2 linked regions of the Mytilus edulis genome follow. Each later gene encodes a partner of the first gene's protein in a complex. Links are inferred from orthologs where the notes say so. Each region holds a gene or a part of one and is shown on either strand. Other genes may lie near its edges.

The links. The genes of interacting proteins can lie anywhere in the genome.
Region 2: probable ATP-dependent RNA helicase DDX46 (region 1) and splicing factor 3A subunit 3-like share a complex: the UniProt entries of both Homo sapiens proteins name them as parts of the 17S U2 SnRNP complex. The link is inferred for Mytilus edulis from reciprocal best matches to the Homo sapiens genes DDX46 and SF3A3.

Annotation. Positions count from the first base shown.
Region 1 is NC_092352.1:81,864,673-81,872,434, forward strand, and holds the start of probable ATP-dependent RNA helicase DDX46, read left to right. Parts: upstream 1-4,657; 5' UTR 4,658-4,771; coding exon 4,772-4,788; intron 4,789-7,762. UniProt on the Homo sapiens protein: Component of the 17S U2 SnRNP complex of the spliceosome, a large ribonucleoprotein complex that removes introns from transcribed pre-mRNAs.
Region 2 is NC_092353.1:19,795,243-19,802,310, reverse strand, and holds the start of splicing factor 3A subunit 3-like, read right to left. Parts: upstream 3,087-7,068; 5' UTR 2,999-3,086; coding exon 2,903-2,998; intron 2,094-2,902; coding exon 2,046-2,093; intron 950-2,045; coding exon 897-949; intron 289-896; coding exon 183-288; intron 1-182. UniProt on the Homo sapiens protein: Component of the 17S U2 SnRNP complex of the spliceosome, a large ribonucleoprotein complex that removes introns from transcribed pre-mRNAs.

The sequences.
Region 1 (7,762 bases):
TCAATGTTAAAGCCAAAATATGCAATCTTTAATGACCTGACAACAGTATCGTAACTATATCCCCTTTTAATAAGTCTATTTAAAGGTTTTGTTAGTTTCTGAGGAGAATACTGACATTTTTGTGCTTTATAAAGAATATTTCCATAAAATTTTGGATGTGAAATACCTGAACGTATAAGATGTCTGCATGTTGAGTTATATTTACGAATTATTTCCTTATACCGGTGATAAAATTTAGTAAATGTTTTGACCAGTTTGTGATATCGAAAACCCTGGTGTAATAATTTTTCAGTAATACATAAATTTCTCTCGCTAAAATCTAATACATTGTTACATACACGAGCGAATCGTACAAGTTGAGATATATAAACACCATAAGATGGTGACAAGGGAACGTCACCATCTAAAAATGGATAATTAACAATAGGAAATGAAAAATCATCTCTTTTATCATAAACTTTTGTATTAAGCTTCCCGTTTATGATATAGATATCAAGATCGAGGAAAGGGCAGTGGTCATTGTTAGCATTAGCTTTGTTTAAAGTAAGTTCTACAGGATAAATTTCTTTAGTATACATACTGAAGTCGTCATTATTTAGAGCCAATATATCATCCAAATATCTAAAAGTATTGTTAAATTTTTCTATCAAATGTTGTTTTGATGGGTACCATGTATACCTTCAGTTTACAGCATGGTTAACAAATGGTTAATATCAAAGATTCAAAAACAAATTATAACATAATATAATCTTGACTTATTTCACACTCAAAAGGTCAAAATACATTTGTTGCTAAAAAAAATCTTAAAGACTGACAAACACCATGAACACACTGAAATATGGTGGGACATCAACATCGTACTTATGAGAAATAGTGCACCATATGAGGAATATTCAGTACAAGAGAGACATGTCATCATGGTCATGTTAATCAGTCAGGGGACTAACTGAAATAAGTGATTTTTAAATCACTTTGGTGATTTTTAAATCACTTTGTGTAGCAAATTCGAAGTTTTGTCACAAATTGTGATTTTGTAGTTTTACCAAAATTTTAAACACATAGGTTTAAATAATATCTTTTTATTAGTAAAATTGAAAAAAATGAATTTTTTGCTTGTTTTAAGTATCAAGGTTTATGCCTTTGATGCTATCATTTAGCTGCAATTCTATTTCAGTTGAAAAAAATGCTATAATAATGGCTTTACATAAGGCCACAATTAAAAATATTTCAGTTTGCCCAAACCCGACCCATGATGACTGGGTGTGGGTAGGTAGGTAGGCAAATTCTTTTTTTTTTTTTTTTTTTATCAGAATTTGCATGAAAATATTAAAAGATCTTAAAACAGTATATCTTTTTTTTTTCGTCAAACCTTTGTAGAGAAAACCAAAAGCCATGAATTTAAAACCTCTATAAATAAATTAGTCTACTATATGATTTGTATCCTGAGATGTTTATAACACTGACAATTGCTAGCTGTGTGAAAGGGCTGGTGGATTTATGAAGTGATTTTCAACAGTTCCATCAACACGATGTTTTTGTAAAAAAAATATCAGCTGATTATGTAATGATTAAATTTGTTTGCAGTTTTTAAATCCTATTTCTATTAAAATATTTATATGAATTATTATCTACCATCCTTAGTTTGTGTCTTGTTTATGTTTTGAAAACAAATTTGTATTTACATTATCACACAGGTAAACTAATTTGGCTATACCGGTAAATAGATCAAAGCATGTTCTGTAGAATCTCCAAACTAAAAACGTATTTGTTATAATTTTATTTCTTTAAATAATCAAGTTTAAATTTTTGAAAATAATCATTATTGATAAAATATAATTGCATAAAGTTAACGTTTTCTGAAGACTATTTATTTTTAGGTCATGGTTCTAGAGGCTTCCTCACAAATTTGTAGAAAAATCCAATATGGCGTCCATAACATGTTTTTACTTTTGCACATGTGAAAAAAATATTTCTGTCAAAAGTCAGATTTCTCTTGTCAAAAGGGATTTATATTGCAATAAATTATTCAGAGGGAGTTACATTCAGTTAAGATTATATTTCTGATTCTGTGAACAATTATAGTTTTATCAAATTCTCCCAAACAGCAACGTACTGATCTTGTCTAATGAGACTTGTAAATTTGAACTATTTGAATAAAAGGGCATCTAATTTACATGATAAAGAAAGATTATAATTAAAGACAACAATTTATCAAGAAATAATTCTTTTTTATTCAGTAAAAACAAAATCTTCTTGCAAGATTGTAAATTCGCAACTTTTCCGGATCCATTTCCTGTCAGAATAACATTGAAAATATTCGATTGCACATGGTTTTGAACAAATCTACCTGAATATTCTTATCAGATATTCGATAACACGATGAAATTAACATTGAGCATATAGGTAAGGGTTTGGTAGTACAGACAACTACAGCGTAAAAAAAACTGCCACTTCACATGTTTTACTTCTTTACGTTCGTTAAATCAGAAGATAAAAACAGAGAACATCGAATATCGATTAACTGCGTCTTTTATACGCTTTCTTTTAATCTTATTCAGTTACTTTCAAACGCAAAGACGACTAACATTAAGTTTTGTACGATGACGGAGCGGACCCAAAAAAAATTCTTCAAAAAAAAATTCTTCAAAAAAACGTCCAAAAAAAATTTTGAGTCGGCGGGTTTATTTTGGGTTGGTCGCGTTTGGGCAAACATACAATCTTTTTATTTTGGCCTAATGAACTGATACTTTCTTAACAGATTTTCCCCAGCAGTGGGAGTATTTTTCCTGTAAAGTTCAAGGTTTCATCTTTCAGATTATGTAATAAAATTCTACTGTTCACGATAAAAATTTCACTGTTCGGGGGTGTTGAAATTAGTAGGTGTTAATCCTTTATTAAAATAATGCTACTTAAAGAAGTGATTTTTGGGAAGGAAATTGAGGTATGATACTTAAACAAGTGATTTTTATGTCATTATCCTAGATTCAGTACAAGGTCATCACCTGAAATGACCTGGTCATCCTCCGTGGCGGATCCAGGGGGGGGGGGGGGGTTCCGGGGGTGCGCACCCCCCCTTTATTTTTGCCAATCAATGCATTTGTATCGGGACATATGTTTTGCACCCCCCCTGCACCCCCCCCTTTGCCCTGGGTTAGCACCCCCCCTTTTGAAAATTCCTGCATCCGCCCCTGATCCTAGACAACACAGATGTTGGTTCTGATAAGTTAAGAAACATAATTAGTCCCTGGATCATTAGTATTCTATATCTAAAGCTACAGTAAAATTAAATCACTTCTTCTAGTGTTTATTTTGTACTACTTAAATAGGTGATTATTAAAGAAAGACAACTCTTACTTTCAACCTTTATGGAAAGAATGTTACTTGAATCAGTGATTTAGAAAATCCCTCATTTAAGTAAGTCCCCTGACTGTTAATAGACAACTTTCGAGTTCGATGCATTTTCGACAAAAAGTCCGGTTTTAATAAGTCATTTGAGTGTTTAGGGGCGTCATCACTTCCATTCCAATGTTGAGCGAGTGGTTGGAAAACTATAATTCTCATATTGTACAAATTATTCGGAAAATTGAATTCTCAAAATTGACAATCAGCACTGCTGTCATTAGGGAATTTTCATTTTAATACCTCAAAACAACCATTATCTATTAACTTATCAGAAAATTATATACTATCATGCATGTTTTTCAATCCATCTTGTATGGGAAAGGATTTGTATAGGCACTGCCTTTTGTCCAATCCCTTTGTTTAAATGTACATTTGATATTTGAACAATAAAATATTTTGAATTGAATTGAATACAGGTCATACCCTCTATCTGGTAAATGACGTCATAAAGGTGTGTATAATTGACAAGTTTTTTCCGGTGAGGGATGAACTCGAAAGTAATATTATTGACCTTAGGATCAGGAACATCAACCAAGAGATTGAAAAGCTATAAAAACAAACTGTAAATATTGTAGAATAAGGGATATCATGATCTCAGTGTTGCCTCCAGATTTTTTAACACCCATAGTAGGAAATATCCTTTTTGTCAATAGTCGAGGGGCTAAGTGATGCAAAATTGCAGCAAAAAAATGGGGGGGGGGGGGGGGGGGGGGTGTCATGCAACATTTTTTTTAAAGAAAATTTAAAGGTATGTCCCGCATTTTGACCTGATCTATTTGAGTTGTCATTTGCAGATACAGAAAATATTGATTTTATAAAATGTACAGCTACACCATAATAATTCATCTATTGGAGATCCAACCTGCCTTCTTTTGTGATCTCTGACTGACTCGGTCTGCCTTGTTGGCAACACCTCCTTTTTTAAATGTTAAAAAAAATTATGATTTAGTTCGAGGAACCTACAAAGAAAAATGATTAAAATAATGATTAAGAAGATGGTCACCTGATAAATTAATTTGTGGAGAAAGTTTCAAAACAAAACCATGTGCTGCCTGCGAGAAACAGTTTCCGGTAAAATGTCGTAACATGTGTACGATTTTATATTTCATCTAATATTTTACAATCATGGCTCAAAAACTTTCAAAATTATGATAAATAAAAATTTAAGGGCAAATATTTCGATACATAATACAAAAAATAAATAATTACGACAATTAGGCTTTTGGTAGTCAGTTGAACGCTTAACACACCGACTGTTTCGTGAAAAATAACAAGCACTCACATGACAGCATTGAAGGAAAAACGTTTGGCTGGTTGTCTTCATCGTCTCACACTTGAAAGAAAGGCTTGAAAGGAGAGAAAAATAAAAATGCCCCGAGACGGGAGGTATAAGACCACCAATTATCTCACTATAATGTTTTAAGTAAAATGACTATCTTACAAAACGTACCAAGCTAAACAGGTTGGGAACAAACGGTATCGGGATCGTTCGCCCTAGGTTCGTTCGCACTGAGTTTGTTCGCCCTGGTAATCCGTTCGCCCTGGGTTCGTTCGCCCTATTTTCATTTATGATATGTACAATGGATACGTTACATTAATGAAAGAAATATATATTTATATATATTAAAATTTATGTATACAGAATATTAATGAAATAAAATTCTTGGCTGCATTGTTACACTTTATTTTATATTTAATAAATTACTTTTAATTACTGTTGATTGAATTTTGATTGCTGATAATTTGAAATCTTTGATATCACTGATTGTTATATGAATTGTCTTTGATGGATTAATATGAGGCAGGCATTACCTGTAAATGGGGACGAAGTCAGTATGAATTATTTTTTTGTAACTTAAATATTTGTTAAAAAAAAGAAACGGAAATACGTAACGTTTCTGATTTTGGTTCTGTTGTTAGGAATTTAGTTGTGACTTTATTTAAATTATGACGTCATGTGCAATGTAAACAAAGAAACGCTATCATCAGGTAACGTTTTTTCATATCAAGGAATTATTAAAAATGAAATTGGTATTGCACGTTCCTTCCTATTTTATACTAGACTGATAAATATATATTTTACTCAAAGTTTCATACTAACGAGACCGGAAAAAGGAAGTACATTATACATTTCTGCGCAGGTCCGGGATTTCAAAACACGACAAAAAAAATTTGAACGATTTTGAGTTCATTAGAACAATGAAAAATTCGGGAAATTTTCCCGATTTTTTTTTTTATTGAATTTTCTACTGTTATTGGGGACTTCGTCCCCATAATAATGAAAATAACATTTTTCTCAAATAAAATTTTTACAAAGTTATTGCCAAACTGTACAAGCCGTCCGACAACCCACTAGACAACGTTCAGCTGCTGCAGTAAAGAATTTTAGATCAATTAACACTTTGAACTTTGAACACTTTCTTATGTATAACTTAAGTGCTCCTAATGTATCATTTTTATTGATCAAATCATGTGTGGAAATGTAAAGTAAAACTTAAAGGATGTGTGATAGTGATTTCCTAGTAGCGTAATTACATGCAGATACTAACTTAGTTCTCAATAGTTCGTAAATATTCGGCGAAATTGTAGACTGACTTCAACATATTCAATTAAATACACACAACACAACACTATAATAAAAAATAAAAATCAGGGCGAACGGTCTCAGGGCGAAACGGAACTAGGGCGAACAGTAACTAGGGCGAACCGAAATCAGGGCGGACGGACCCGGATTCGGAACAAACCCCCTGTATTATTGTATGGTGATTATGGTAAACGGACAGAAAGTCACAGGACATAAAGTCACAAATTTGGTAGGACAAAAAGTCACAGGACAAAAATTCACAAATAATTTGTTGGCAATTGTTTGAATATATAACTAAGAGAAATATCTAGAAATATTTACTTTTTAATACATATATTCATATTAACATGATTAAAGTTTCGGAAATGTGTCAAAATCCGATGGGAATAACAGATATAACATCAAAACCAAATACATGAATTTGGGATAGAAAAGTACCGTGACACGTCTTATAGTAATGTGAATTCACACTCAAATATAGGAGAAAACAAAAGACACAACGGAAACACAACGTAAAAATGTTACACACACAGAAACGAACTATGATATAACAATGGCCACAGGACATTTTTAAAGAAAAAAATGGTGGGTTGAACCTGGTTTTGTGGCATGCCAAACCTCGCATTTGATGGCATTGTTAAATATAACATTAAAATGACAACATAATAATACAGGACTACAATACAAATAAATAGGAGAACGTATTAGGCAAAGAAACACATGAATAATAGATAACAAAAGGCATCAGGTTTAAAATTCATTACGTCAAAAACGCGCCTCGTCCAAACAAGAATTACCAGTGACGCCCAGATATAAAAGTTGGAAAGTCAAAAAAAGGGGGTGGGGTACAAAGTTGTACAGCTCTGAGGATCAAAAGTTGAAAAAGGTTGTGCCAAATACGGCTAGGGCTTTCTGCTTGTGATAAGAACATCCTTATTATATAGAAGAATTTATGCTATTGCAAACAGTGAATTTTATCAAATGAATATAAAAGATTTACATGATAAAACTGACGTCTTAACTAATTACAAAAAACAAAACCCGAATACATAATACATTGAAGACCAACACAGAAAATAGACACGCCCGACTCAGTGACAAACCAGGCCTGAACTCAAAAAGTAAACAATGACGTCACATACGAACGAAATGGTGAAAAGGCACAATATTACGTCATGCAGACATTTGAATTTCTGAAACAGCAGAAATATGACGTCATATATAATGGACCATAATTTGCTATTGGGCTCGTTTCCTATAACGATAGAAAAGTGATAAAAATGTGTATTACTGTAAGAAAAGTTGTAACTACATCTAAAGATGCCTTTATTTTTATCAACATACAAGTGTATGCTACTCTTCCCTAGAAAAAAAATTGAAATTAACAAATTTCAAAGATTATATGACAGTATTTTTGTGTCGTTTCTCGCGTTACTTTTCGCTTCCGAAGTGCATAACGCTGACTGATTTATAGATAATCGTCACCGGCAAATTCGTAACTTTTGCTTTCAAATAATAAAGAACATCGACCAATAAGAATAGTCAGAAGAAAATGCCGAGAACTATAAGTATTTCTGTAGCAGGTGTAAGAACACTAGCATTACTTTGGTTTCCAATTTCGTAACGCAAATTTTAGATGATGTAATCTGCTTTGTTGTAATAGAATTCTTAATAACAATATGCAAATATGAACTCTCGCGAGATGTTCAAACAGGTAAATCAGAGATGATTTACATTCTAGTTTTGTTCTTCGTAATAATTAAGTTAGAAAATGAC
Region 2 (7,068 bases), on another chromosome or scaffold:
GCACACCTTCTATCTGGTAAATGACATCATGAAGATGTGCAAATTGATGGTCTTTTCTGGTTAAAGACATGATTCCAGAAATGACTTATTGAGAGAGTCTAAATAATATAGAATTTGCAAGTATGTCAGATACTGTTTTTTTAAATCTTTTTTTTTTTTTTATATATGTAGAATGTTCATACCTCATTTGGATGCCTTTTGTGGAATTCTCTTAGCTGCTTAAGTCTAGTGTAGAACTCAGAAAACTCATTCGGTCCTGATAAGGACTGTACTTCTTCTTTTCTCATTCTGGAAAGAGAACAAATAAATATTAACTGGACCTCAAGAACCTATGTGAACAATAACTACAGTTACTACACTATCTTGGTGTACAACTCAACCAGTACATGCCAAAACTGAGACAGACTTTGATGGTTCTGCTGTTGTGAACAAATGTTTTATATGTGAAGTATCAGGCAAAGGTGTCTTTTTTATTATGCGAAAATAATGAAATAAGAGAACAAGATTGCTTATATCCACTTTTTGAACTATGGTTAATAGTTGTCTCATTGGCAATCATACCACATTACATCTCTTAATTCTTATTAGAAGAAATGTTGCTTTTATATCAATCCAATCAGGGTATTGTTTTCATTTCTTCAAATTGATGTTCCAACAGACACAGTAAAGAAAATTTCACCGTCAGTTTACAACATGCAAACTTTATGAAGGTCACTAAACATAACAATTGTGTATTCATAAATAAGATTCTACTAATTAATAATCTTTAAGTCTACAGTTAACACGACTAGCAAGCATTTAACTAAACTTTAAAATGTGTACTTCATGCATCTCATGTTCAGAAAATTCTATCACTCTCTCCATGTATATATATATCTATAATTATGAATATTTACCCATCTTTATCCTCATACAAATCCCCTAATTCTGTTGTACATTCTACATATCTCTGTAATGTAATGATATTCATCAAATAAAATAAGCTGCAATATATATATTTCTTGTACATGTTCATAAGACAATACTTTACAACTATTCATTTAAAGCACAAGACAAATATACAAACTATTTAAAAACAGAAAAATGTTTTTTTCTAAAATTTAACACCAAAAGAGAAATATGACTATGAAAGTTTTTATGATGTAGTTTAGACTCAATATAAATATGATTATATCATCCCAAATTCTTCATTTTTTTTTACCATAACTCAGGGATAACTATCTAAAACAATTGCCTCACAAGCCTGTTTTGCCTACTCTTTTCTAGACATGTGTATAATATACAAATGTATAACTGTGGGATTTTAGCTCCATATGGCATAGATGCCAACCCCCTTTTGACACAATCAGTAACAAACTATCAAATTTTCCGTATTTTTGAAAAGTTTTCAGTAATCATTCATAAACGTGCATTTACCAATAAAAATTACTGACGAGTGGTTACAAAGTGATGCACACTAAAATTTGTCATTTAACATGTTGTCTGAAGTATGTATTCCATTCATTAATTGTTCAGATGTTCTCGACTCAAACATTTTTGTTTTGTCAAGGAGAAGTAGAGAAAGGGGGAAAGCTACTTAATAAAATGCAAGTTTGCCTCTTCGGAAGTCAGTTAGTTACCCAACAATAGGTTGATAACTCCCGAGAAACCGGAAGCATTACATTGGCGTTTCCTAAATACTGGACCAGGACGGAAAAGTAATGATAAAAATCCGCGTTTTACAAAATTGAACGTCGATGATTGGGAATCCGTAACTATTCGACTTTGACCGTAATAGCGTAGTTTTTATCGCAAAATCGGAAAAACTACGGAAAAATCGTAATGGTTGGCATCTATGCATATGGTAAAACAACATCATGCAAATTCCCACTACAAATGACAACTTATGCATTTGATAAGAAAAGCACACAAGCTTTCGCTATATTAACTGTTTCAATAAATGTTTTAATTATCATTTTTACAGAATAAAAACTTGATCTTCTTGTAAAATTTCTGAGATGCATTTTTTTTTGCCATTCATTATCATTTATTACATGATTACTTACATCTAGTAGATGCCGAAGTCGCTGGTCTGAATTGATCTGTTCTCTACCCTGAAATAACATTATTTTAAATTTATAAAAATGACTGGCATGACTGGAAGCTATATTGTATAACAATTAACATAAATGTATTGACAAATAATGGAAAAAAATCACCCTCTGCTGCCAGTTGTTTTTCAAGGTTGCATTTTGTGTGCCAGAAAATATGACAGCTCGACATCTGTGACTTCAGATGTCAAGTAATGACGTCATTCGACAACAATTTCCAAGTAAACTATTGTTTGACAGATCAACGTAGAATGTAGATGTGAAAAAGACACAGCAATGAAGAGAAGATTTCATAAATTGAAACATGGCTATATGTGTCTGGTCAAGGATTTGTATAGTGAGACACTATAAAAATCCTTGGTCTGGTACATTCGGTGTGGACACATGTGTCCCTCGAGCAGCAATACACCTTATCGCTATTCCCGGCTGACCTGTCCGCTTGAACTTTTGACGTCAACAACAATCACTTTTCCATTGTGGCGTCAGACATTTTGTTTTATGACGTCAAAATTTTACGGGAACCTGTGTGATTTCCAGCAATGGCGGACAAATAGCGATAAGGTGTATAGGATTAAATTTGCATATGCATACATTTATGTTTAATTTTGAAGGAGTTTAATCATTATCATAACATTAACTTTTGATAATATATATTATTTGATTCAACTAACGGTATTGTTCTGATTCGTGTTCGCTGAAAATAATACATTGTTTTTCTTGGGTCAAATTGGTGAATTTGGGTGACTTGAAGTTGGAACATCATTGAACATTGACATGAAATGATTACAATTTACGTGATAAGTCCAACATACATTTTTGCTAGGTTGAAGCATTTCCTTGGTCATTGCATCTTGAAGTCGTTCTCTTTCTTCATGGTATCGTCGTTGTTGCTCAAGAAGTGTTTCCATATCGTTAAAATGAAATTAATTTGTCGATGCTAAAACGAAAATAGTTCGTCTTCATTAAAATATAGCTTCAGTTTCCCTATTGAAAACTAATTCCTTAAAACGCGTTACTGATTTCAAGATTGATGGAATCGCCTTTTTTCGTCCTACAATCTCGTCCCATCTCATAAAACGCTTTGATTAAATCAAGTATCACTAACAACCGACAAGAAACAACAAAAACAGGAATCAAATATGCACATTTTGTTTAAATTGGCAATCTGTACAATAAAAATATAAAGCTGTGTTTAGCCTTGACAGTATTGGGTTGTGCACAATGCTGGACACCGCATGCACATTTATTCTATGACTGGAACACTGTCTTTTGATCGCAATAGTGTCCACGCCATACTAATCTATAGAAATATCTCGTATTTGATAAAAGGCCAGTTTTGAAATTTCTGACTTTGTAAGTCAAAATGTTTTTTTTTATGAAGACTTGACTGTTAACTTTTGACTATGCCTTACAGTTCGCATCAACATCAACATGTTTTTTTTTTTAGATATTTTATAATTTGACCCAAAAGACCATCTGATCATACTGATGTAAGAGAATAACAAAGTTTCAAGTTGTATTGGCCAATCTTCATGGTCAAGAATATATAACCAAAATATTTCAACAACACACAGACTGCGGACAAGCAGCCGGGTAGTATACGTAGTCGGATCAGGGGAGGGGGGGGGAGGTTCTGGGGGCCGGCCCCCCTTTCGTGGGAAAAATTTGGTTGATTATATAGGGAATCACTGAAGCATGACTGGAGCGGCCCCCCCTTTTAGGTCAGTCAGCGGGCCCCCCTTATGAAAAGTTCTGGATCCGCCACTGGTATACACATTCAAAGGGAGAGGCACAGAAAATCAATGATTTGATGACGAAACGAGAACTTTTTACAGACAAATAGAATAGACAGTGTACAGAAAAGATATGGATGTGAATTTCAAAATATTCAAGAAGTTTAACGTATGAAAAGCATCAAATACAAAACAGCTGTCTCTATGCTGACTTTGGTGAACTTCTGTTGATGAGTTACTGTATCAGGTTTTTCAAAAATATTATAATGGCTGTTTAGGTCAATAAACTCATCATAGATACCAGGACTAAATTTTGTATATACGCCAGACGCGCGTTTCGTCTACAAAAGACTCATCAGTGACGCTCGAATCCAAAAATTAAAAAAAAAGCCAAATAAAGTACAAAGTTGAAGAGCATTGAGATCCAAAATTCCTAAAAGTGTTACCAAATACAGCTAAGGTAATCTATGCCTGAGGTAGAAAAGCCTTATTATTTAAAAAAATTCACAATTTTGTAAACAGTTAATTTATAAATATAACAATATCAATGATAATTCATGCCAGCACAAAAAGTGCTGACTACTGGGCTTGTGATACCCTCGGGGAAATAAATCTCCACCAGCCAGCTTCTGTTTACAAATTGATTTTGTATAAGTTTCACTTCCTAGTAACTCGATCACAAGTTATCAAATATTACGGATAAGTTTATTTATTTGTGGAATTAAATACATGTAATTCATACAGTCAATAAACATATTTTCCAAGTAAACTATTGCTGACATAACAACCTTATTTAGTTACAAACCAGATGTGTACCTGTTCTGGGTAATTTGGTTCGATCCTAAAGAGAAGTTAAAAAAAAAAGTTATACAATAAATGCATGTTTTCTCGTTTTCAAAAACTGAAACATATGCAAAGTATTTTACTTGTTGAACTTATAACGGTTGCACATATTTGCAAAGCAAAGTTCTGGAATTATGCGGAAGATGGCGACGGTCATTTTTTTCATAACGTTGAAATTGAGTTTCCCGCAAATATATTTGAGGATACAGCTTTGGAAACCCTACATGATTTACACGTCTTCCAGTGATGTTTGTTGCTTTTTATTCATCTTGATACTATCAATATAGTTATAAAATTGTTTTTTTTCCCCAGTGCATTTGAACTTCTGGAAGGTTTTCTCGATTATTATTAGGCTCTTCAAGCCCTATAAGACGATTTTATGGTATTACTGTATAGGCCATGAATAATATATTTTTAATTTTATTCTTTATAACATATGAGTAAACAACGCTTTTATTCCTTTTTTGAAGGATATGTTTTTTTGGGGGTCTATTTTCATTCACGACTGCATTCAGTTTCATTTCTATCAAACAGCATTAATAATTAATGTTGTTTTTAGTTTTTTTGTTATAAGGATTTTTTCTGTTACTTACTTAATTTTTTATTTGTGGCATTAGAATGATCATGACAGGAAAATTATATAGAAACTAATGTACCATGTCGATGCACCCCTAGTCTCACTCCTTTTGGGGTTCATGAGATATCCTCACTTATTTTGTTACTCTGGTGTATCAATCATCTTAAAATTGATTATGAGAATTGAACATTGGTACACTACTGTTGCCAAAAATTAGACATGATTGTGACGACTGAACGGTCATATATATAGGACACCTCATTGCTATTACATTATTTAATTAAAATTAAATATAACTTTAAGTAACATTAAATTCTTTTATGCAAATGTTTTCCACAACTGTTTTCTTTCATGGATACCACTCCCCCAACATAAACAAACATACGTTCTGCTCCTTTCCTCCTAATATTCAAAACATCTCAACTCAACACTAGACTATCCTCTCCAAAACCAGAGTCCTGTCTTCCCACAACGATAGCACGAGAGTTACCAGTAGAGTTGAGAGCCTCAGTTGCTTGGTTCTTTTCGACATTTGATTGGAGCATCATTGTCACGGTTACCCTGTGGAGTCATCTCAGGCACTATCATTTACTACTCCATTTTGGACTCCTAATCTGACTCTGTCTCATCAGTCTGTTTGATGCCTTCAGACGTTGTCAGTTGTTTTCCTTGTATGCTGTTCCTATAAACAACTTGTTGCAGCTGTATGATATAGCTATTCGGTTTATTACTAGTATCAATCGGCAGCTTTTAAAAAAGGTAGTAAAAGTTCCTGTGTAGCGTTTTCTTCTTTCCCTCTCCATTTTCATTCTGAATCAAATACACTGGGGTGTCGTTGTTAGGCTGTGTAACAACACGGTACGAGCCCTCTTACCACGTGTATGTAATCTTGTTTCCCGTCGTGACTACTTATCTGACAAGCACTCTGTCGCATGGTTGTAGAATGGCACCTCTAACTTTTTTGTTAATAAATGACTTCTGTCTATCTTAAGCTGTTCATGCATATCTTGATGCTAAATCATATTCCTTCTATAGTCGCTTTTACACGGCATCGACATACGTCGTTGCTGATTCTTTCTTGCCATTCATATCTTAACCCAGGCAAATGTCCACTGGTAATCTTGGTGGTCTACCAAAAATCAAAAAGTACGGTTAAAACCAAGTTGTTGTCTATCGAGTACAATTATATGTATTGGCGAGTCCAATGACACGCGACTTCCACTGTTTGTTGTTTCAATGGTACCAAGCTTACTGATCAGTGTTCGGTTGAAGCGTTTTGTCATGCTATTCCCCATAGGATGACATGCCGTGGTTCTTGACTTCCATTCCAGTGATGTGACATAATTCTGTGATGATGGTGAAATCTAAGCTAGTGCCTATGTTAGAGTGGATTCTCTTTGGCAAACCAAGTGAACAACAAAGTGGAAGAAGAAGAATTCGGCTGGTTTTTTCAATTTGGTTTATGGGTATTAATCGTGTTAACACGGGTCAAACTCTGTCCCCTTTGAAGAAATATCTTTATCAATGAAAATTTCAAGACACCATTTTCACCAAACGTAATCTCGATCTGTAAATCATCATAACAGACTCACACAAAGATAATCAGCTCAATATATGAAGGCGTTCAGAAAAAAATCGGTATAACTGATATTATTACGAAATTTTCTTGTCAAAAGCCCGTTTCCTATCGAAAGTCGGTGGGTTTTTTTTTCGGGCACTCCGACTTAATCCATCAATAAACTTACCTGAAACTTTGGCAATGTATTAACGGGGAAAATATGACAGACAGCAACCAACGACCACCACTGACCGGTTTTTCTCATTT